Drosophila melanogaster: one gene and its partners. The protein of the gene in region 4 interacts with the protein of the main gene of each other region in a pairwise test. Each region holds a gene or a part of one and is shown on either strand. Other genes may lie near its edges.

Evidence for each region.
Region 1: the proteins of Aldh-III (region 4) and saturn interact in a two-hybrid assay, tested with the Drosophila melanogaster proteins (one large-scale study listed by BioGRID).
Region 2: the proteins of Aldh-III (region 4) and PyK interact in a two-hybrid assay, tested with the Drosophila melanogaster proteins (one large-scale study listed by BioGRID).
Region 3: the proteins of Aldh-III (region 4) and CG14042 interact in a two-hybrid assay, tested with the Drosophila melanogaster proteins (one large-scale study listed by BioGRID).

The regions. Positions count from the first base shown.
Region 1 is NT_037436.4:14,201,247-14,205,045, reverse strand, and holds saturn (saturn), read right to left. Parts: upstream 1,724-3,799; 5' UTR 1,613-1,723; coding exon 1,394-1,612; intron 1,335-1,393; coding exon 837-1,334; 3' UTR 752-836; downstream 1-751.
Region 2 is NT_033777.3:22,367,339-22,373,604, reverse strand, and holds PyK (pyruvate kinase), read right to left. Parts: upstream 4,324-6,266; 5' UTR 4,082-4,323; coding exon 4,040-4,081; intron 2,828-4,039; coding exon 1,438-2,827; intron 1,380-1,437; coding exon 1,223-1,379; intron 1,137-1,222; coding exon 1,124-1,136; 3' UTR 859-1,123; downstream 1-858. Other genes in the region: CG7069 (uncharacterized protein), read right to left, coding at 1-368. UniProt on the Drosophila melanogaster protein: Enzyme of the glycolytic pathway. Glycolysis is essential in glial cells but not in neurons; neurons rely on the citric acid cycle for their energy needs, and on lactate and alanine secreted into the hemolymph by glial cells to fuel it.
Region 3 is NT_033779.5:5,035,586-5,041,679, reverse strand, and holds CG14042 (uncharacterized protein), read right to left. Parts: upstream 3,972-6,094; 5' UTR 3,559-3,971; coding exon 2,923-3,558; 3' UTR 2,570-2,922; coding exon of another isoform or gene 1,940-2,569; intron 1,872-1,939; coding exon of another isoform or gene 1,620-1,871; 3' UTR 1,561-1,619; coding exon of another isoform or gene 1,504-1,560; 3' UTR 862-1,503; downstream 1-861. Other genes in the region: CG31650 (uncharacterized protein), read left to right, coding at 141-798; SP555, read right to left, coding at 1,504-1,560, 1,653-1,871, 1,940-2,569; Col4a1 (collagen type IV alpha 1), read right to left, coding at 4,943-5,203, 5,472-6,094.
Region 4 is NT_033778.4:7,473,925-7,479,435, reverse strand, and holds the start of Aldh-III (aldehyde dehydrogenase type III), read left to right. Parts: upstream 1-2,273; 5' UTR 2,274-3,189; intron 3,190-3,876; 5' UTR 3,877-3,941; coding exon 3,942-3,996; intron 3,997-4,055; coding exon 4,056-4,094; intron 4,095-4,776; exon of another isoform or gene 4,777-4,864; intron 4,865-5,305; exon of another isoform or gene 5,306-5,511.

The DNA of each region.
Region 1 (3,799 bases), on a different chromosome or scaffold from region 4:
TCTTTCAGCATTCAATAATACGATTTCACATATATCAATAAATATATTCTTTTCTTAAAATAATATACTAAAAAATAATATTTTAAGATAACATTTCAATACTGTTAAATATTTAATTTACTATTCTTTGTTGCCACCTAAGTCAACATTTATAGTCTCATTAGTAATGTTGAAAGGTCTTTGATGATGGTACTGTTTTTCTTTTTTATCTGGCAACTCTTTTACAATCCCATACACTTTCCCATGCAACTTGTTTGCTGCCAACATGTTGTTCGGCGATACTAAAAACTAAAACTATGCAACATCTACAAATCTGGCCAACAATAAACATTCTCATGTACCTATTAGATAGATGGCAATTACCTAAAACCGAAGCCAAATTGGCGACAGACGTACTTTCAAGCCGTTTTCAGCTGCCAAATAATTCAAATACATGCAGGGGGAAAAAAACGGGAAATTGTCGCCAGGTCTGCCAAATAGCCAAGAAATGCAAGCCAACTGCCAAACAATGTTGGGCCCCCGCAAAGTGGCTTGGAAACTGCCTCGATTAGGCAGCCGGCCACCTTTAAGGCTAATTGAGGGCCAACCACGTAGACTTGGGAACTATGCACGGGAAAACAGAGATACACAATGAAATAGGTGAAAATTACCACGAAAGACAATTGGAAATCACTTAAAGCCAAAACGCTTGCGAAGGCAAGATGTCAAGGTTGGCATAGGGCTATAATGAATTACGATCACAACAAGTTTTATACAAATCACTATGAATGGTTTATTACAAATTCGAGCACTACAATTTTAATGAAATTTCAATATGAAAATTCCTGAAAATAGATCTAGAGCTTCCATCCCGTTTTCGTGTTTGAAGGAGATGACCGTTTACGCATATTTCTATTTTCCACGGATACATTATTTTCAGCTATAATCTTCGTGGGTTTCGCTATATTAATGTGCTTGGTCTCATCTTTGGCTGGTTTTCCCTGATCTGTTAGAGCAAATCGCACCCTATTTTTTACTACGGAATCTTCTCGAGGTTCGGCGTCTGGAATCACAGGCTCCGGTTTATTTTCTTCTCGTACTAGCGCTTTAGTTTCACTAATTTTGTCGAATTCTGGGGGGAAAGGATCAAAGATTTCTTTAAATTCTGAAAGTTTGTCATCATTTGCGTTGGACTCTGGTTCATCCAAGTAATTAATATTACTCCTAATATCATCAGAAATCGCTAGCGGCGGCTTGGGTATTACGGTCGAATTTAGGGCTTCTTGCAGCATGGCCATATCCTTGGTTACAAACTTAACACGTTTTCTCAGTGACTCAATCTCCGACATAGGCACCTAGAACAAAACCCTATTAAGCCCCTTCTACTGTACGTTTTCCCCCCCCTTTAACTTACATCGTTCCATTTGTGTTTGAATCTTTTAAATACAAGTAAGAGGAGTACGATAAGGACAATCGTAAGAATCACCAGGTAAGTTGGTGATCTTTCCAATACCAGAAGTTTCAACAAATCAATGCCTTTAAGAGTAAACCAACAAGCCGATGGCCAAGAATTGCAATACGGCGATATCTTTACCGATGTTTCCAAATCAACTTTCTGACGATAGTTCCACATTTTGGGCCTGACTTTTTGTTAGTTTCTATCTGTAATTTAGGTTGTATTAAAACGGATAACCAACCGGTGATGTTATCACTTTTATAATGTGATTTGAAAAGTATTTTCTTTGCTTGCTAGACTGAATTCAAATGACAACATTTAAAATGTTCCTATGTGGAAAAATATTCGTTCTTTTAAAGAAAATAATTGTAGAATTCCACTCATTCCCTTTCCTTTTTCAGATAAAAATCTTTAACCTCTTCCCACAATTTTCCCTAATTGTTCTCGGTTCTTTAATGCATTTTCCCCCACCATTTCCCAGTGCAGCTTTTTTGAATGCCAAGTGCAGAGAGTGGGAAAAACATGTTCCCAGCAGCGGAGCAAAAACAAAGGCATTTGCATGACAAATTCAAGTCGGCCCAAGTTGTAGTTGCTTCGAAAAGAGTAGAAGCCATGGGAAGAACATCAAGGTCCGGAAAGTTGACAGAGCAACCACAATTTATAGCCTGCGTGGGGTTAACTGATTTGCACACGCCTTAAATGCAGACGATTTTAATTACTTTATCCGATTTCGTGCATAATTTTCGAAGAAATGTTTATGAAAAAAATTTGTTTAATAATTGAAATGCTAATCGATATTGATCGATGCTCTAGTAATGATCTAACTATTACAGCCTTAGTTTAATGATCAAAATGATCAAAAGTATATAACAGTACATAACGATACGAGATAAATGTGTCAGAATCGATAACATCAGCAGACTGAGTTTTATTTTGGGTCAAATTTTGTTCGCGACTTGACAAAAGTGCCGGCCTAAATTCTGAAGAGTTAACAATTGCGGCAAGTTAAACCTGTTTCTGGAACCCTCTCACTTCACTTCCTCCGATCGGATGAGCGAAAAAATAAATTCCAACAGCATGACAACCCCATCGAGTCAGCCAACTTGTAAGCCACATCAAGAGGGAAGGAGTTGGCTAAATTGAGGGGAGACAAGAAAAGACCCGCATCTTCTACCTTCAACCTTTTCGCTCGGTCCCCGAGAAAAGTTCACAAAAGCGGCCAAACTACTTTTGGCTCAAGAAGATGGCAGCAGGAAGCACGGTCGCCAGTTGACAAGCAGAACTGCCAAAGGAAGTTATATAAATTGCAGCAGATTCCATCTTGGAGCTCTCTCATTGTACTAACATAAATCTCATGCTGTTAATCTGATATATTTATTTTACTTTCGTTTTGGTTTCAGTTGCAATTAAGTCCCAGAAAAGAGAGCAATTTTTTTTTCGGTTGTAACTTTTATGACAGCCTCCCCCGCCGGCAATAATCATAAATTTTAGTTTTTGGGGGTGGCAGCGTTAGGAAAGCTCTTGAAAATTGCCCAATTGAACATCTATGTAGTTGTACAACAATTGAAACAGGCGAATAAGATGGGAAAAACTGATAACTAATTTAGGCAGAAGAAAAACAAGCAATTGAGCAAACCAGCTAATGGAAAATTGGGAAAAAAACCAAAGGCAACTTATAGCTGAAATTAACAATCTTAGATAAGCGAAGTCATGGAAACGCTTGTGAAAACATCAAATGTGATGAGGACAAATACTGAATTAAAAACTATATATATATATTTTTTAAGGAGCAGTGCACCAATAATTTTTTTAATTAAGATAAATTATAAATATTTTTATTTACAAATCAAAAAACCAAAACCAAAATGGAGCAAGAATGGGGGTTATGATTTATATGAAGCTCTACATGAAACCCCGAAAGAAATTATATTCAAGGGTGCTTACTGTCTCATGGATCCCCAACGACGCTGGGATAAACTATCAGGATTGCTGTAAGAAAAATTTTTATCAATTGGGATATCTAATAATAGTCTTATTCGGTTCAGTTTTAACCGCAATAGAAACATAGCAATATAGCAATCTTTCTAATCATCTTATTTTCTTTTATATAAGTTCATATATAGAATGAAATTTACGCCTAATTTTCCAAATATTTATATAGGCAGTTATTTAGAATTATTTAAAATTGCCAATATAATTATATAAAATTGTTATTTAAATAAATGATTTATTCTAGCTATAACTAGGTAACACTCATCACTGTATAATTTAAGAGAATTGTTGCACTCTCTTACGATCAGTTGAACTGTGAATTCACCACGGCTATGGCAACTTGTTGAACAAAGGCGGAAATAGAGTAAAAGA
Region 2 (6,266 bases), on a different chromosome or scaffold from region 4:
CCCTTTGATTCCTTCACGATCAATGCAATCAATCCGTCGTCTACAAATACCCGATTTCCTGGTTTGACCAGTTGAGGTAGCCTCTGATAATCCACATAGATATTATCCTTGTTACTCTTGTCTGCCATCTCCTTCTTGGTGCTCAATGTCACTTTGTCTCCGGTCTTGAGCTCTATCTCAGCCCTATCATTGCCACCGGCCAGTTTGCCCGTCCGGATCTCTGGACCCTTGGTGTCCAGAGCAATTGCCAATGTTCTGGGCAGACCCGTTTGCTCCACGTACATGGCGATGGCCTTACGAGCCGCCTGTATTGTCTGGCAGTGATACTCGTGAGAGCCGTGAGAGAAGTTCATACGCACGACCCGCATCCCAGCCCGGATGAGCTCCAATAGCTTTTCTGGGCTGTTGGATGAGGGTCCAATGGTGCATATGATGCTGCTGAGGGGGATACTCAGGGCAGGTGCTTGGTACTGCAGTCGCGACTGGTAATCCAACTGGGAGGCGAATGGTCCGCGGTCCAGTCGGAACTTCGGTGGTTTCTGGAAAGAATTCATAAGCGGATGATTGACTCCCAACGTAACAACGTCCTACCTTCTCTTTCTTGCATTTGCTGGCATAGCAGCGATATCTTAGGTTTAACAGGCAAGTGGAACATATGGGCACTGTGGACCCTGGACTAAGGATTCTTGCGTATGGATGAATTTTGAATAAATTTTGATACACCGAAACAAAAATAAAATGTAGTGTTACCTGTCAAAAACGAATAAAATCAATTGCCTATAGGGAACTGGATGTGGATCTCGTACATGCAGACCTAATACCCAAAGGTTCCAAGTATAAGGAGAAAATGGCACATTACTTTCCATACGTACATAAATACAGTGATGACTTTATTATAATTTTCGAAGAAATCTCTATTATTCAACAATGGTATAGTATATTTGTGTGTCTGTTTGAGGCCCGGGCCGGCCTTCGGCGCTTCTGACAGCGGTTCCAGCAGCCTCCTGCAGTTTCCAATATTCCGAATATTGTGTAATTAATAAATTAACTTGGTTATTAACAGTAATCAACGCGACGCCCGCGGCAGCTGCGACGCATCCAGGTACTTCCTGAGCGGCAGAATTTATTCGACGGTGCTGAAATGATAGATAATTGCGTTAGTTTTGTTGATATAATTTTTGCACAGATACATATATATCTACATGCTAGAATTTAAACTTACACAATGCGGATGGTGTTGGTGAAGCCGGAGCCCTGCTTCCAGCCGGTAACCACCACGACGGAATCGCCGGTCTTGATGAAGCCGTTCTTCTTTCCGACCTGCAGACCGAACTGCACGCGCACGTCCACGTCCTTCAGCCAGTCACCAAGACCGGGCTCTGCAAGTACAAGCCAGAGTTATAATTTAAAGAACGACCTGGAGAAACAAAAACCTACCCTTGTAGATGAGTGGCACCAGTCCACGGTAGAGATGGGCCTGTCGGGCGGTCTGCGCGAAACGGGTGACCGCGATGATGGGGCAGCGTGGGCGGTACTTGCTCACCTGGAAGGCCGACTTGCCGCTGGTGGTGATCACCACGATGGCGGAGGCCTTGGCCTTGGTGGCAGCCTCAACGGCAGCGATGGCAGCCGCGTGAGAGGCATCGATGGTACCAGCGCCGCGAACCAAGTCGTTAAAGAGGTTCTGGTGCCAGAGGGCAGCCTCGGCCTCCTTGCAGGTCTTGGCCATGGTCAGGACGCACTCCAGCGGGTACTCGCCCTTGGCGGTCTCACCAGACAACATGACGCAATCAGCACCATCGAGCACAGCGTTGGCCACATCAGAGATCTCAGCGCGAGTGGGACGTGGCTTCTTCACCATTGACTCCAACATCTGAGTGGCGCAGATCACAGGCTTGCCAGCCTTGTTGCAGCGGGCAATCATGGCCTTCTGGGCGAGGAACACCTTCTCGGCGGGAATCTCAATACCCAGATCTCCACGGGCCACCATAATGCCATCACCGGCCTCGATGATCTCGTCCAGGTTGTGCATGCCCTGCTGGTTCTCGATCTTGGAAATGATCTTGATGTTCTTGCCCTTCTCGCCAAGAACCTTACGGATCTCGGTCAAAGCAGCGGCGTTGCGGATGAACGAAGCAAAGATCATGTCCACTTCCTGCTCCACACCGAACAGCAGATCGCTCTTATCCTTCTCGGAGACGGCAGGCAGATCGACGGGCACGCCTGGCAGGTTCACACCCTTGCGGGAACCCAGAGAGCCGCCGTTCTCCACCTCGCAGGTGAGGGAATCCTTGCCTACCTCGCGGACAATCAGTGAGATCAGACCGTCATCGACGAACACCCGGTTGCCGGGCTTCACCACATTGACAATGTTCTCGTAGTCCACGTACACAATCTCCAGAGAGCCCTTCTCCAGGAATTCCTTGTTGGTGGTCAGCTTGATCTTCTCGCCCTTCTTCAGCTCAATCTCGGCGGTGCCGCTGCCTCCGATCAGACCGGTACGGATCTCGGGCCCCTTGGTGTCCAGGGCAATGGCCACGGGGTGTTCGTAGCCCAGCTTGGCCGAGTAGTTCTTCACCGCCTGGCGCACATTGGCCACGGTGGCGGCATGGTACTCGTGCGATCCGTGAGAGAAGTTCATGCGCGCGATGTTCATGCCGGTGGCCATCATCTTCTCCAGCATCTCCACGCTGCTGGAGGCAGGTCCGATGGTGCACACGATTCCGGACAGACGCACATGGGGCACTGGCGAGTCGAACTGCAGACGGCACATGTGCTCCAGTTGGGTATCAGCTCCTGCGGCCATGTTTTGGGGTACTTCGTTGGGCTGCAAAATGAAAACTATACTTAATTCTGTTTGTTTTCATTTCTCTTCATATTTATAAACAGCGCGAATTGATTCTTTATTTTTAGAAATCAACACGCTGATTGCCAACTTTTGCAATAAAACAGGTTAAAGTCGTGTTTATTGATTTTAAGCATTTATTTCCAATTTACGCTAATAATCAGAAGTCTCTTCCTAGCAACAAGAAACCCTACGCGTTTTAAAAACTACCAAGTTCTAGCAAAAAATAAAAAAACCAACTAGTTTTATGATATTAAAATCATGCCCTGGTGAAGTCATGCAATGCGAAACACATTTAGGACCCCAACATAAACGTGGCGAATGCGTGCAAAACTCATGATAACCCTTCTTCATATCAACGAATATAAATCGATACAGTTTTTATCGACCAAATTAAATGTTTACCACCGGCTTATAAATAGAACCAAACGGGCCAAATACGGCGATTTAAGCCCAAATGCTCGCCGCACCAATCATTTTTCATGACCAAAAGGAATGATTGAAATATTTGTGAACTGACAGATAAAATAGAGCTATTTACATATAAAGGTAATGATTTTAAATAATCTAATAATCCTAATTAAAATGATAACGTTATATATTAACAGTATTTTATCATTCTGATGGTACTTAGTAGCATGTGTAAATAAGCCATTGATAAAACTTGACATATAAAATGTTATAATCGATTACCAATATTAAATGATGCTGTTGCGTTAAATACTATTTGTTAACTCTTACGATTGCTTAAATTATCAAAATATTTATTCGCACTGTGCATGTTATGTTTTGAAAAACGCAAAGCTGTCGCTGCAGAATTCGCTGATGTAAACAAAGTGCGTGTACTTGAAGTGCTTGAGTGGATGGGCGTGGGTGGTTAGGGGTGTCCCCCGTAGAGAGGACCTGAGAAAGGCAGAGCGGAAGAGAGAGTGGCAGAGAGAAAGCAGCAGGCGGAAGAAAAGTGTGCAGCGAAGCCGACACCGGCAGCGCTGCACATCTGCACCGCCGAAGGTCAGTTCTGCCGACCGCGACCGACAGAATTTTCTCAGCTGCAGTTGCATAATTGTCTTTTCCCACATTTTCCTCCCCAATGACTCTGATATCGGGCCAACTCGCCAGCCAACTGATTATGGCGATTATGAATATCTTTATGGACCAACTCTGGGGGCTTCCATTACCGTGACATTGGCCTACCTTCAGCTGCGGTGCCTCATCGTAGATGGTTACGTTCACCATTTTGTTGCCTACCGAACGGGTAGTATGTAACCAACGGGAATCGCACTTGGGATCGAGATCGGTCTGACGATATAGACGACTATATCTTCTTGCAACTGCACACGCAACTCCACGCACAACAACACACACAACGCAGCGGCTAGCCGAATGCAATATTTTGGCAATATATCTTCCAAGTTTGAGACGAAAATCGGGATATATGGAAAATCGGACGCGGCGAGGACGAGACAAAAAGTTCGACTGCCACACAGATTTTTTGGCAAGCGGAAATTTTCCTAGCCGCAGAAAAAGCGCTCAGAATGTCGGTAGCCCGACAGCAAAGAGAGCATAAACGCAGAGGAGAGAGAGTTTGGGCCCAAGAGGCAAGAGGCGGACGCAACAGGCCACCCCTAAAGAGACAACATTGGTGAGCGAGCAAGAAGGGTATATTCAAGGGTATGCTCGACCAGGGACTGCCAGCTGCTCAGTCGACCAAGTGGCCTTACCGCTATTCCCAATATAATTCCGAGTGAAATATAACCTTAATCTTACAATACTGCATATAAAAATTAATAAAGATATTATCAAATGGAAAAGATAGAGGCTCAAATTATCATTCGATATTTAAGTATAAGTAAAGTGTTTAGCAGGATCAAGATATGCTATTGTGCCAACATACCCTAACTCCCTTCGCGTAAGGGGATGCGAAAAGTTTATCCAAAAAGGAAGCTCCGAAGTTAACTGGCGCAAAGCTCCGTTGCTAGGCTGGCCGGCAATCGGATAGAACAGAAGGTTCAACGATCCATTACGATTATTAATTTTTGCATATAAATTTGCATTGTACAGAAGTATGTGTATATATGATTATATGGACACGTGATGTCAGTATGTGTGTGCGTGGTAAACAAAAAACCGATCATCAGCTGTTAGACGGCGCTTATCAGCTGGCAATACAGAAAAAAAGCAACGCGGAAAAGAGCCCACTGTCCAACTGTCCCACTTCCACCTAGAATTCCACTGTGCTGACCTTGACAACCTAATCTCCTCCACAGAAAACAGCTTCGTCTCGCTCGCACTGCCATTATGCAAGTGCGTGAGCATCTACTTTCCTTTTATCTTCCGCTCTCTCTTTCGCTCATCGTGAGTGACACGCGCAGAAACCGTGCAAGTAAAGCTCGCCGGCCTGCAGCTTTTGTCGCCGGAAAACGCACGAGAAAAGTTCTGAAAGTGAAAGTGCTTTTCCAGGCTTCAGTCAATATGTAATGAGTACTATGTGCCGTACTATTTAACCTTGAACTTGTGGATAAAGGACGTTAGCGCCGTTAACATTTTGAAGCTCGGGTCTGCAACAACAAATGCTTATCACTGAGACGCCGAAACAGCAACAAAATTTCAAATATAATTCAGACAATCCGGCACAGAGCAAATTTATGCAAAATTACTCATCATCGCTGAAAGCGTCGTCGTCACAGAGCAATTAAACAATTGCGATAGTGGAAGTTTACAGCGGTTCAAGATTATTATTGCTGCATTATTTCCGATGGCATGTTTAATAGGGTGTGATTGCGATGGTGTAGGTTATTTTACTTGTGGCGCGCTCCGCATGGAATGACTTCTATTTCACCTTTACACATTTCGCTAACGAGGTTCTTTTGAGATTGTATGGGTGTGCGAATTGAATTCGCAGCCGTGCTTGTGTGTATGTGTTTTGTGAGGCGGCAAACGCAATTCTACATAATGTGGAGAAATTGCTTGCATCATCAACAACAGCAAAAACAAATGTCTTGCCCCCGCCAATTTCGTTAGCAAAATTTCTAGCGTATTATAATGGAATGATGTTTAGCTTGAGGTCGTATCAAGAAGATCTGATAATTACCTGTTTTTGACAGTAAAGGTGAACTCGCGGAAAGATGTATTTGCTCTTCCTGTTTTGGAATTATTTTAATTCAATTTAAATGCACAGGCAGCGAACACTCCAATCAGAAACAGTGCGTCCGGCGATCTGTTCGAAAAAACAGTTGGCACCAATGAGCCTAAAAAAGCCACTCGTTTTTAAAATAAATACCATTTGGTATATACATACCAGATTCACGATATAACATTTGGGGTCTTCGGAAAGCTTTAAATTTTATTTAAAGCAATTTGTAATAAAGCCTAAAACATATGCTCCTTATTTATCCTCATTTATTCAGTTGCGTAAAGTATT
Region 3 (6,094 bases), on a different chromosome or scaffold from region 4:
GTCTGTTGATTAATACTGCATCAATGTTAGCCAAGCCAATAATCACCTCAGCAACCTAATGCTTTGTCTAAATGCTTGCCTAAACTGAAAACGCATAGACTATTTGAAGCTTTTACTAAAATACATAATACAACTTGCAGAAAACTGTCGGAGGAAGAAGCCGCTGATCGATTTGAAGAAATAGACCAGGATGCGGACGAGAGAATTACGTGGAAGGAGTATCTCCAGGACACATACGCCATGGAGGATGAGGACTTCAAGAAGGAGACCATCGACTACGACAGCTACGAGGATGAGCAGAAGATGATCAAGCAGGACAAGGAGATGTTCAATGCGGCCGACACGAACAAGGATGGTGTGCTGACGCTGGAGGAATTCGTTTTATTCCAAAATCCCGAGGAGCATCCACAAATGTTGCCAATACTGCTGGAGCACACGATGCAGGACAAAGATGCGGATCACGATGGCAAGATCAACTTCCAGGAGTTTGTCGGCGACGCAGCCTCGCACCACGACAAGGAGTGGCTGATCACGGAGAAGGAGCGCTTCGACAAGGATCACGACTCCAATGGCGATGGCGTGCTGACGGGCGATGAGGTCTTATCCTGGATTGTGCCAAGCAATACGGCAATTGCCAACGACGAGGTGGACCATCTCTTTGTCTCCACCGATGAGGATCACGACGATCGCCTGTCCTACCTGGAAATACTCAACAACTACGATACCTTTGTGGGCAGTGAGGCCACCGACTACGGCGACCATTTACAAAACATTAACCATCTCTCCGACGAGCTCTAGATGCCATTCAAAGCCCCATCGTGCTATAGTGAACCTGTGCTTAGTATTGTATTTCGTTTAAATAGTTAGTAAATTTATGTTTATTTATGTAAATTCAAGTGACAATTGCAAATCAATATCGCCAAATTCTTTTGAGCACTTCTTACGAATTTAATTTTCAATACTATTTCGTTTGTTTCGTCATGTATCAATTACATTATGTGTAGTAATTTATATAAACAGAAACAAAAATCTACATAAAGCGTACTAAATAATTTTTACTAAATTACACTTTGCTTTATATGCAATTTATGACTAGACACATTTTCATTTTGTTACATTACAGTACTTAGGCCTTAATTGCTGTCTGCGAATTTACAAAATTAGTTTAGCAGCGTGTTCTTTTTGACTAGATTTCACACTCGTCTGTACCGAAAAATATGCTTAGCTCTAGATTATTTTGCGATTTTCTAGCAAGCACTTGAAGCCCCGAAAAACGTTTTTCTCATTTCTTATATCACAAATATTGCACCAAATTGGCCTATTTTCCCACATTTTCGCTACAAATGAAGACAAATCAAAAGGTCGGACGACTATTATCCACACAAATTCCGAATGCTTAAACTTAGCACGCTCTAAAGCTACTACGAGAAATGCACACGTCCCAGAGGAGCCACTGCATCGTCTGGTAGTCATTGGGCACTCCAATATGTGATGGCACTAAAATCATTCACGGGCCTCATACAAATCGTAATTCATAATGCACATCTCCAGCTGATTCACCTGGGGGCGAGGACGTACTCTATAAACTTAGCTTACGTTGACCGGACACGATCCGAGCTCTACAAATCACACAGTATATCGTAGTTGTCTACCTGACGCAGTGGCTTCTTCTCGTCGATCACCTCGCTCAGATAGTCGGCGATGGGCAGCGGCAGCTTCAGCTTCTCCAGCTGCGCAGCGCTTCGTACGCGGCGCATGATCACCGCCCGACAGCGATCCTGTAGGTTGACGAACTCCCTCCTGGTGCACTTTAGGGTCATCTCCGTTTTGGCGGCAGTAGAGCATACGATGGGGTACAGGGGCTCATCAATCTGTTGGGCAGTTAGGCGAGATTCTAGAGCCTGATCCTTGGAGGATTGAACAATTCAACCGGACTCACCTGATCCAATCCGCGGAAAGCAACGCCCAGGCACTTGCCATCCTTGTAGAAGGTGAGTGTGCCCTCAATGCCATCGAAGAGAACGCCAATTTGGGTGGGTTGATTCTCGCGGAACCGCTTCGTGTACAGCAGGGCCACGCCCTCGTGCCAGAGCACGCCCTTGTGGGACAGTCCCCAGCCGTGTTCGTTCTCGCCCAGCATGTTCCGGAAGGCGTTGGCATGTAGCCGTGCCGACTTGGTACCGATACCGAACATTATCGAGGTGCCAAAGACGCGCTGCGAGACATGAAGCTCCCAGTAATGCCGTCCGTTATTCAGGGATCTTTTGCCCTGGACACCGGCAGTGCCCTTGCTCCAGTTGGGATGGAAGTGCACGGTCCGCGAGTTGGGTCCTCTGAGCACCACTTCCTTGGAGCGGTGCCGCTTGCTCCACGTCCAGTTATCCTCAACGCCATTGGGCAGCGGACAGAAACGGGGTGGCGGCGATGTGGAAGATGATGCATCCAGTGAACCGGACGACAACCCTCCTGTTACTCCTCCTCGTCGACCGGTTGGACGACGTCTCCTCGGGGCAATTGCCGCTATGGGATGGGGGTGAGCCTGCTGTGGATCCACTTCAACATCAGACATTGTGTTGCGACTAGAAATTTTTTCGCTTCTCAATTTGTATCAATTTGACAAAGGGAACCCTTCGAACTGTTGGGAGGGGGGGGGGGGGTTAAGTTTTCAATAGGGTTGGCTTCCTGGGGTTGATGAGCTTCTCCAGGTCTCAAAAGTTGTTGAAATCGTTCAAGGAGCGGCTTCAGGGGTGGCGTCTTTAGCTCGTAGTTGTTTGTTCTTTCGTTTCTCTGGTGGTTAACTATGTTATACAATTTTTTTCAATACATCTTTATAGCATAGTTTTTATGAAGGGTTCTTCAGTTCTCCAGACGAACTCCAAGTGGATGATTCTTTATGCAAGGATGAGACCAAGAGGCGTTTATCTACAAGTAAGTGGTTAGTAGGGGCTGTTGGATATCCTCCTGCGGCAGGTCCTGCAGCTCCGCTTCCTCCTCCAGTGGAACGTCCTCAATAATATCCTGATCGAAGGACGCCTCCTCCTGCTCCTGCGATCCAACGCTGGTCAGTGAAGCGTAACCACTGCTCAGGGAACTGCTGCTCCAGCTGGCACTCAGTCGGACTGGACGATAGCTTCTCGTCGGTTGCAGTTGCTGCTGCTGCTGGCCAAGAGTCCGCTTTAGCTCCCGCTTGATTCGGCGAATCTGCCGGAAATCCTGCTCACCACCGGAACCCCTCTGCCTGTGCAGCTGCAGCTCCTGCAGATGGAAGTGATGGCGACAGTAGCCCTGCGGACTGTGAGCACAAAATCGACAGGCCTCGGAATTGAGGCCACCAACGAGCGGAAGGATTGGTTCGAGGATGCGACGCTTCTGGCTGCGCTTCTGTTGCTCCAGCTGCTGCTCCGCCAGGCGCTGTGGCGCCTTACGATCGCCCACCGTTTCGGCCACCTCCTGCAGCAGGCGCACGTTCCTCGGGAAGCATCGGTCGTGGACGTAGAGCACCAGGCGTTGGCAGTAGAGGCACAGCGATTGGAACAGCAGCAGCAGGACGATAATCATAAATATGTAGGGGTGGTGGTGTGTCCTCTTCCTTTTTTTTTTTTTTTTTTTTGGTGGGGCGGAAGACTGCTGCTTCTTGGGAGTCTCTGATTTTGGTGGTGCACTTCCCGTTGGCTTTGTGGTCTTGTTAGTTTATGCAAATTTCACGCTGCTTTCCAAACGAGAGCTCGCAATTTTCACTGTTTTTTTTTTCGAGGTACACACATTTTTTCCGTCTTGCTGCTCCTCCACACCTACAAAAAGCAGCTCCTCTTATCTGGCTGAAGTTACAACTCCCACCGACGACCGCCTCCGCTTGCGTCCAAGTCACACTGGCTTCTGGCACTTTTTTTCCAACTCACTTTTACGATTCCAACTTGAATCGCCCCACAAAGGCCTACCCTTATTTTCCACGACCTGCTTCCAACCACCAATTGGACTTTGTGCGCGTGTGTGTGTCTGCATATCATTATCATATGGCTCGGTCCACCCCACTTTATGCCCCGCAAACCGTCCACGGCGACCCCAATCGTCATCGCCACCCCCTTGACAGCTAACCAACCCCCTCCCCCACCGCAAATCCGCACAAAGAGAGGCAATGGCATGCGCACAAGTGCACGAGGTGAGTTCGCTCTCATCCTTGGCTTGGCATTGCTTTTTTAAGGGTTCTCCGCGACGGGGTTTCCACCACAATAGCCTACCCTTAGCCCTGGTCTTTTGAGGAAGATCTTATCACTCAATGTTAGGGGTAAAAAGTATGCAGTATTTGTCTTGCAGGAAGTTTATCACTGAAGGGCATACGATTTTTTATCCTCAACAATATTTGCTCTAAATAGGCTTGTATGAAATTGTGGTCGTAATTTGTATTTATAAATTTTAGTTTATTTTAAAACGATATGCGACAAGTTTTGTATAGCAGTTGAGGATTCGATTCGTTCGATATTCGTTCGATACCGCGTTTTGTTGCATTGTTTCGCATTTAATCGGTTTCAAAAATAAATGGAACATGCTGGCACATAGTTTATTTTATACTTTTGGACATACGACCGAGGCTAGTTTATTTATTTGTTTCATTTACTTAACATACGTAACGTAACTTAGAAGCAGTTTACATTTGTTTAGAACATTAATTGGCAGATAAAAAATGGCATTGTGGTCCAGGTCGGTCGGTAATTAGCACTTCGACTTGTGGATCCGTTTTTTTTTCTTTTTGGTTAGATTAAGGAATTTGTAGCAGTGTTGGTTCGTCGGTGTATGTATGTGTGTGTGTGTGTTGGTTTGTTTGTTTGTGTTTGTGTTGTGATCGTGTGGGTGTGCACACGATTCGTTGGTAATTTTAAGGCTTTACATTTAGATTAAACTTATGCTCTGTGCTGTGGGTGTGTCTGTGTTGGGATTGGAGGTCCTACGAGGAGTTCTTCATGCACACCTGGCACCTGGACACATGCGACTGCCGCTCGCCGGCCTTGATCGTCTGCTGCTGTGGCCTCTCGAACGGCTGTGAGGACTCCAGGTTGTACATCCAGAAGCTTGTCATCGTCTCATAGAAGTGGCACGTGCCCTTGGCGCCGTTGCACTCGATGAAGGGCGTTGCACGGAAGTCCTCCAAACAGGAGCCAGGCGATTGCAGCGCCTGTCCACCGCCACCGTTGCCCACGGCAGTGTGCTATTATAGGAAATGGTTGGGTTAATATTAGCATCATTATAAAAGAACTATTTAAAATCCCACAAGTAGTTAGGAATAAAGGTTGAAAATTAAAACTATTGTATCAAATCTTTCGCTACGCAGTATCCAACAGATGGCGCAAGAGTGTCGTTGGAACGTGCGCCATCTGCTGGAAAGCTAGGGAAACTTCGGAAACGCATCCCTTGTGGATTTTGAAAACTCTCATCATTCTTCTATAATCTAACGTTATAAGTGTTCCGATACTCACCATGAGGAAACTGTAGCCAATCCAGAGACCCTCCCAGCCATTCGGACAGTCGGGCACCTCTATCGTTTGACTGTGCACGGCGATCACATTAGCCGGCGCCTCACAAACGACGCAACGTGAGATGTACTGGCGGATCTCGATGTTTTCAACGGGCATCATCGGAATGGCGGCGTTGGTTGTCAGCCAGAAGGTCTTGTCATTTCTGGAGGCGTAGTTGCAGACGTTATTCTGACCACACGACAGTACGGGCAGCGTTGAGAAGCGTGGCACACAGGATCCGGGGGATCCAAGGTCCTGGTTGTGGGCATAGTCATTGCCATCGACGTACAACAGGGAGTAACCCGTCCACAGTTCCGTGTGTCCAGCCGAGCAAGCGGGCACCGTTTCCGATTGACTGTGTCGCGTAATCAGGATACCGGTGAGATAGTCCAGAGCAGCGGGGGCTGGAGCACCGGGCTCACCCTTCTGGCCGATCAAACCAATGGCGCCCTCATATCCCCTCTCGCCTGGCTCTCCGCGATCTCCCTTGGGTCCGGGTCGTCCCACGTTACCAGTCTCACCGATCAGGCCGCGCTCACCCTTTTCGCCACGCTCACCCTGGATGCCAATCAAGCCACGCTCTC
Region 4 (5,511 bases):
ATCTCATCTAGTTTGATTTGCTCTCGATAGATAGGCGAGATCGCGTTTGGCACACCCAAAAAGCATCTCAAGCATTTTCACCCACTCAGCATTCTGCATTCTGCAATCTGCAATCTGCATTCAGCAGTATTCAGCATTCAGCATCAGCGTACATACATTCATATGTAGGGGCGTGCGGGTACTAGGTACACCCACCAGTAAGCAGCTATTAAGTCCGAGTAAGGCGATAAATCGAAGTCTAGGAAATCTACCAAATCAAGCGACGGATTCAATAACGAGTTGCAGTTTAAAATTGTAATTGTGTAGTAGTGGAAAGCGAGGAGGAGGTCAGAAACAAGCGCGGACCACGGGTGCGCCACCACCTGGTGGCTGCGTGGTCTGGCACTTTTCTATATACATGCATACACATACATATTTATATACCCGAATATATATATATATATATATACAAGCGTACATAGGTGTGGACTTGACGAGACAAGAGTAAGAGTATATTTTATACGATAAACAAATTTTATAACATATTTAATAATAAATTATACACTAATAATTGTGGACACTGCTCTGCGTTTTTTTCTATCTCACTTGAACACTTGAGTTCCACAGCGCAAGCCTAAAGATAGGCTACTGTATCTCACGGGTGCATAAGAGTTCAACTAGCTAATGGTTCCATATGAATGCTTACAATGGATTGGTTGAATTGAATTGAAATTGAATGGGAACAATCAATATATTTCTGGGTTTTGAAGCCAATCTAAGGTAAGTAACGTACTCCCGGTTGGAGCTCGAAAAACTGAGCGAAGATGTGGATTGCATACGATCGTTCAATGAATCTTAGAATGGATTGATTGAATACCTCGATATGTAATCATGATTGTGATTGAAATTGATTCGGAGCAATTACTTCAAGTCATTCTACATATCTGGTTATTAAAGCCAATCTTAAGTCAATTATGGGTTTCAAACGTAATTGAAACATTATGATACCTTCGAATTGGTTGATAGAATGATTAATTTCAATCTTAGTTACTTTCTGACACAAAGATAAGGCTTTAGCCCATAGATATTTACTTCTCAAATGCCAGCATCTTTAGCTGCCTCGTTTAATGGGTGATGCCGTCACGCGGACCCGGAACCTGGGTCAAGGCCACGCTTCCATCTCCATAGAGCCCACATACATGCGACGCAAATGGGTTGCGGGCATTGTCGAAAAAGTGCCGAGCGGCCATTAGAATGACAAAAGGAATCGCTAAGTACGCCGCTGGGCATAATGAGACTTGGCGAGGCAACTGAAAAGTTGGAATACTATTTGGAATCGCATCAATTGCGTGACTACAATTGCGGCAGCTTTGTGTGCAAAGAGCACCATTCGAAATCACTTTTACAATTGTTTGCTGGCCGTAAAGTTGGGCAAAGCGAGCCAAAGTCCACCGCCAGCTGGTAGCGACCAGCTAATTTCAGTGGCGAGAACAGGTAATTACGGCATTAGAATCCGGACTGATATGCCAATTGGCAGGTTTACTGGACTAAACGCGATCTGTTTAATGGATCTCAGCTCTCGATCTCAAGCAGACGACGTCTGGCACTGAGGTTTTTGTCCGGATCTCATGGTCAGGGTGCGAAGCTGTCCGCTGTGATTCGATGCAAGTGAATACTTATCAATAACCGGTTATTTATTAGCCGTCACTTCACTTGCTGGCTTCTGCCGCAAAACAGCTGCTCGAAATAACAAACACCTGAAAGGCAAATAGTTTATTGTTTACGGGACGATCTTTAGCCTGGCTCGCCCTATTCCTAATTGGCTAGGGCATCGGGTACAGGCTGCACTGCCTAAATAGAACTGATGTCAAATCTCAAATTAAAACTACCTTCATTACAGTCATAATTTCTGGTCAGTAGTTATATCTTGTGCCCTTAACTTTGCTTCTAAATAGCATTTAAAGAATGTAACACTTTTATAAGAGTTTTTTTTTTGCTGTAGCACAGATTTGTTACAACTTTACTTCATGATAAAAAAAAACGAGTCTAGTTGACGAACCCAATAAGTTGCCATGAGCAACTATCAAAAATGTGGATTTAATTTGAGGAAAAACAGATTTTCGCAGGCGCCCAGTTTGTAAATTGGCAGTTGGTGGTTCCAGTTTTTCCAATTAGTGCCACTCTTTTGCAATGTGACAAACGCCTTTTAAACGGCGTGTTCGTTGCACAGAAGCCGGACTGTATCGTCATTCGGATTAGTAGAGAGGTGGCTGGCATCCATCACCATTATCTGGTGACTTTGGGCCGGGAATGCGTGTGCATCTGCGACCTGTGATTAGCGCCGAAGACCCCCATTAAGAAATTCAAATCAAAAGTCGAGATTTGAGATTTAAGATTCGAGATTCGAGATAATCAAGAACGCGAAGAAAACTGAAACTGGAAAAGCGACGACGACTGCGGGTACGGGCCAACTTGGAGCGCTTAGCCGGGCTTAGACGTGTTTCGAGCGCGGCGGCGTCAGGTGAATCCGAGATTCAATCCTAATTCGAATTCGAATCCGAGTGCCCGGTGCGTGTTCAATACGCTTTTGAATACAGCGACTTGTTTGCTGGCTAATTTTTTTTTTTCGAGTGGCGGGCTACGCATACAAATTAGACCAGCACATAGTGTCCATGTGTAATTAAGCGACCCGATTCACTGTAAGCCGCTCCAGCCGAAGTGTGGTCGAGTGCATCGGTCCGGCTTTCCGCCTCCAGATACACGCGGCGGTGGTCAACGGCCAGTGGCCACTTGGCAGTGCTCCGCCACTCAAATCAGTTGGCTTTCGGGCGTTATCGCGCGCAGATTTGCTTGGATTTAAACCAAAGTACCGGATAGTGGTTATTTAATCTACACTCGCGCTTATTAGCCAACTGCGTTGACAATTAGCCGGCCCAGATGCTGGAATGAAAGTGAAACTGGAGACGGAAAACCGAAAACCAAATCCAGTCGAAGTCGGTTACATGATAAACGCCATGTGAATATGTTGTCATACAGAAACGTGATCCCCTGTGCTAATCAATTCAATTCGCATTGAATCATCGAGTGTGTTGGCCAACAGCCATATTTGCATGGTTGAACTTGAAACTGATTACTGATTATGGAGTGCTGGTGCATTTGGGTGTTTTTTCATTGATATATTGTTGTTTCAGCTTTTAAAGACTTCAAATCGTAAGCTTGAATTGTATACGATTTGTTTGATCATTTGCAATTATTTTATTATGTTTATCCCCAAGTCAAAATGTACAAATATTTATGAAAAGGGATCAAACACAGCTGCACTTTCAAATTAATAAAGAAATTGTCGAGTGTCACGACTATTAGATATCCATTACTGAGCGCGAAGAATTCTACTAATAAATACGCAGTATCCAACTTGCTTGCTATTGTAGTTTCCCAGAATTTCTTTTACATTTGATCCCTATAAACTTGGAAATTCTATTAAAAATTCGACTTATAGAAATCCATATTTTTACAAGTATTGTTGTAAACTATTATTCGTAAGGAAGTGCAAAGTTGTGCCATAAACAATGGCGGAAAAAATATTACAATCTAATATGAATACTAGAAATATTGATCATCTATTGTAATATTTCTTGTTTAGACAATATTTCAATCTTTAGTTCACCTTAACCAATTGGCGGGCCAAAAAGCTTGTGTAAGTCAATGTGGAATTTGTGAAGGATTTCGCCAGCTGGTTATTTAATTGATTTTCCCACGAGGACAACTTGACAAATTGACATTGATTTTCATTTGGTTTGCTTAGTTAAGTGTGCAATCTTCTTGTTCGGACATTTGCCACTTAATAGTTAGTAGTTAACCACATTTACCACATTCGTTTCCTGGGAATCCCTACAGCTTTTGTGCTATTTAAAAGTGTCCCCAATAGCGAATTTATAACCAAACAAAAAAACACTACGATAATGTTTGACAACGCGATTAAACCTCATCCGGAGGCCAATGGAGCTCCAATAAATGGTAAGCTAATGAAAGTCTTACTTATCAAAATGCCCGATTTTATAGAGTTTCCGTTAAAGCAGCAGGAGATCGGCCGATAACTACTGTCATTAATATTGGTGAGTCAAAAAGTTCGTATGCCACAAAAGCTTTGCATACAATGTGTATAAAAATAGAAGCAGTACTCAGAGGGTGAAATCTAGTTTTTCCTGTACAGCTTAAAACTTGATCAAAAACTAAGGGGTTTTTAAATTATATGCATTATTGTAAAGTCCAATAATCTTAATAATCTTAATAAGCGTGAAAGCTTTTATAGGACACGCATGTAACATCATTATTTAGCTAAAAATAACTTAAAATCCTCAAACACATTTAGTTTCACTCATGGTGACTCCGTCATATATTGTTTAATCGCACTCATTGTTATATGTCATTTGTTTAATCGGAGTCACCGTTACCAAGCACTATTATCGGAAAGTATAGAAGTGCGATATATAAACAAATGCGTTCGGTTTAAAGTGGGGAGTGTACTATGTCCAACTAATATTAACACCATTGATATTAGCAGATTAGGCTGGAATAACGTTCAGAATGCTCTGAACTTGTGTTAGCCGAGTCCAAAACATACTGATTCGTTATCGGAGCGACACGCTTGACTTTCCCCATCCGAAATCCAGTGTCCATATCAGTTGGTATATAGCTTATGTATGTACATTCTGAACGAAATACACATGCATTCAGTTCTGATAATGAATGCCAGCGGCCCTAGTCGAGTATATGTTCGGTTCGTGGAGTAACAATCCACTCAGTGTCGACCGGCATTTGCGTTGAAAAGGTGTGTTCTGTTCTCGGAGAGATTAAAATAGCGAATTCAGAGTGTTTTTTTTGGGTAAGCCAGCTGTTTTCTGTGCACCGACTGGATATGCTTATTTATGGTGCAATTAGGTTGCGCCATTTAGTGAACAACCAGTTGTTTTCGTTGGAAACGAGTATTACTCTTTTGCAGTTGTGCCAAAATAAATAAGTGTTTGAAAAACTGTTACGTGTTTGCATAGTTTAAGTTTACCGCTATGGAAAGTTACAGACTGAACGACATTAGCAAACACTGGATTAGCAGTGACATGAACCAAGATTAACTTAACACTTACTATTGTTTTACAAATAAAACGAAAACTTAAATGTTTACGCCAATAGACTGTAGTTACATCCCGATAATTTTTAAAGAACCACTTTAAACTTTATTATTGTCGAAATTTACGACTGTAGCTCGTCTTATATTAGGCGCCCTTTGGCACTTTTTAGCTACAAATTCGAAGCCCAGCGCGGTCACACTGGCAGCAAGTTTCGCATTCAGATCCGATCCAAATCTTGAAATATACAAGTTTTGTTGTCGCGGTGAACGGTTGTCAAAGCGCGTCAACTGCATGCGTTTATATCTTTTTTCTTCCTGCTGACGGTACCGAAAAGTACACATAATTTTAACAACAAACAGAAGACGCACAACCGAAACAACGGTAGATGCGTAACGAACGAAAG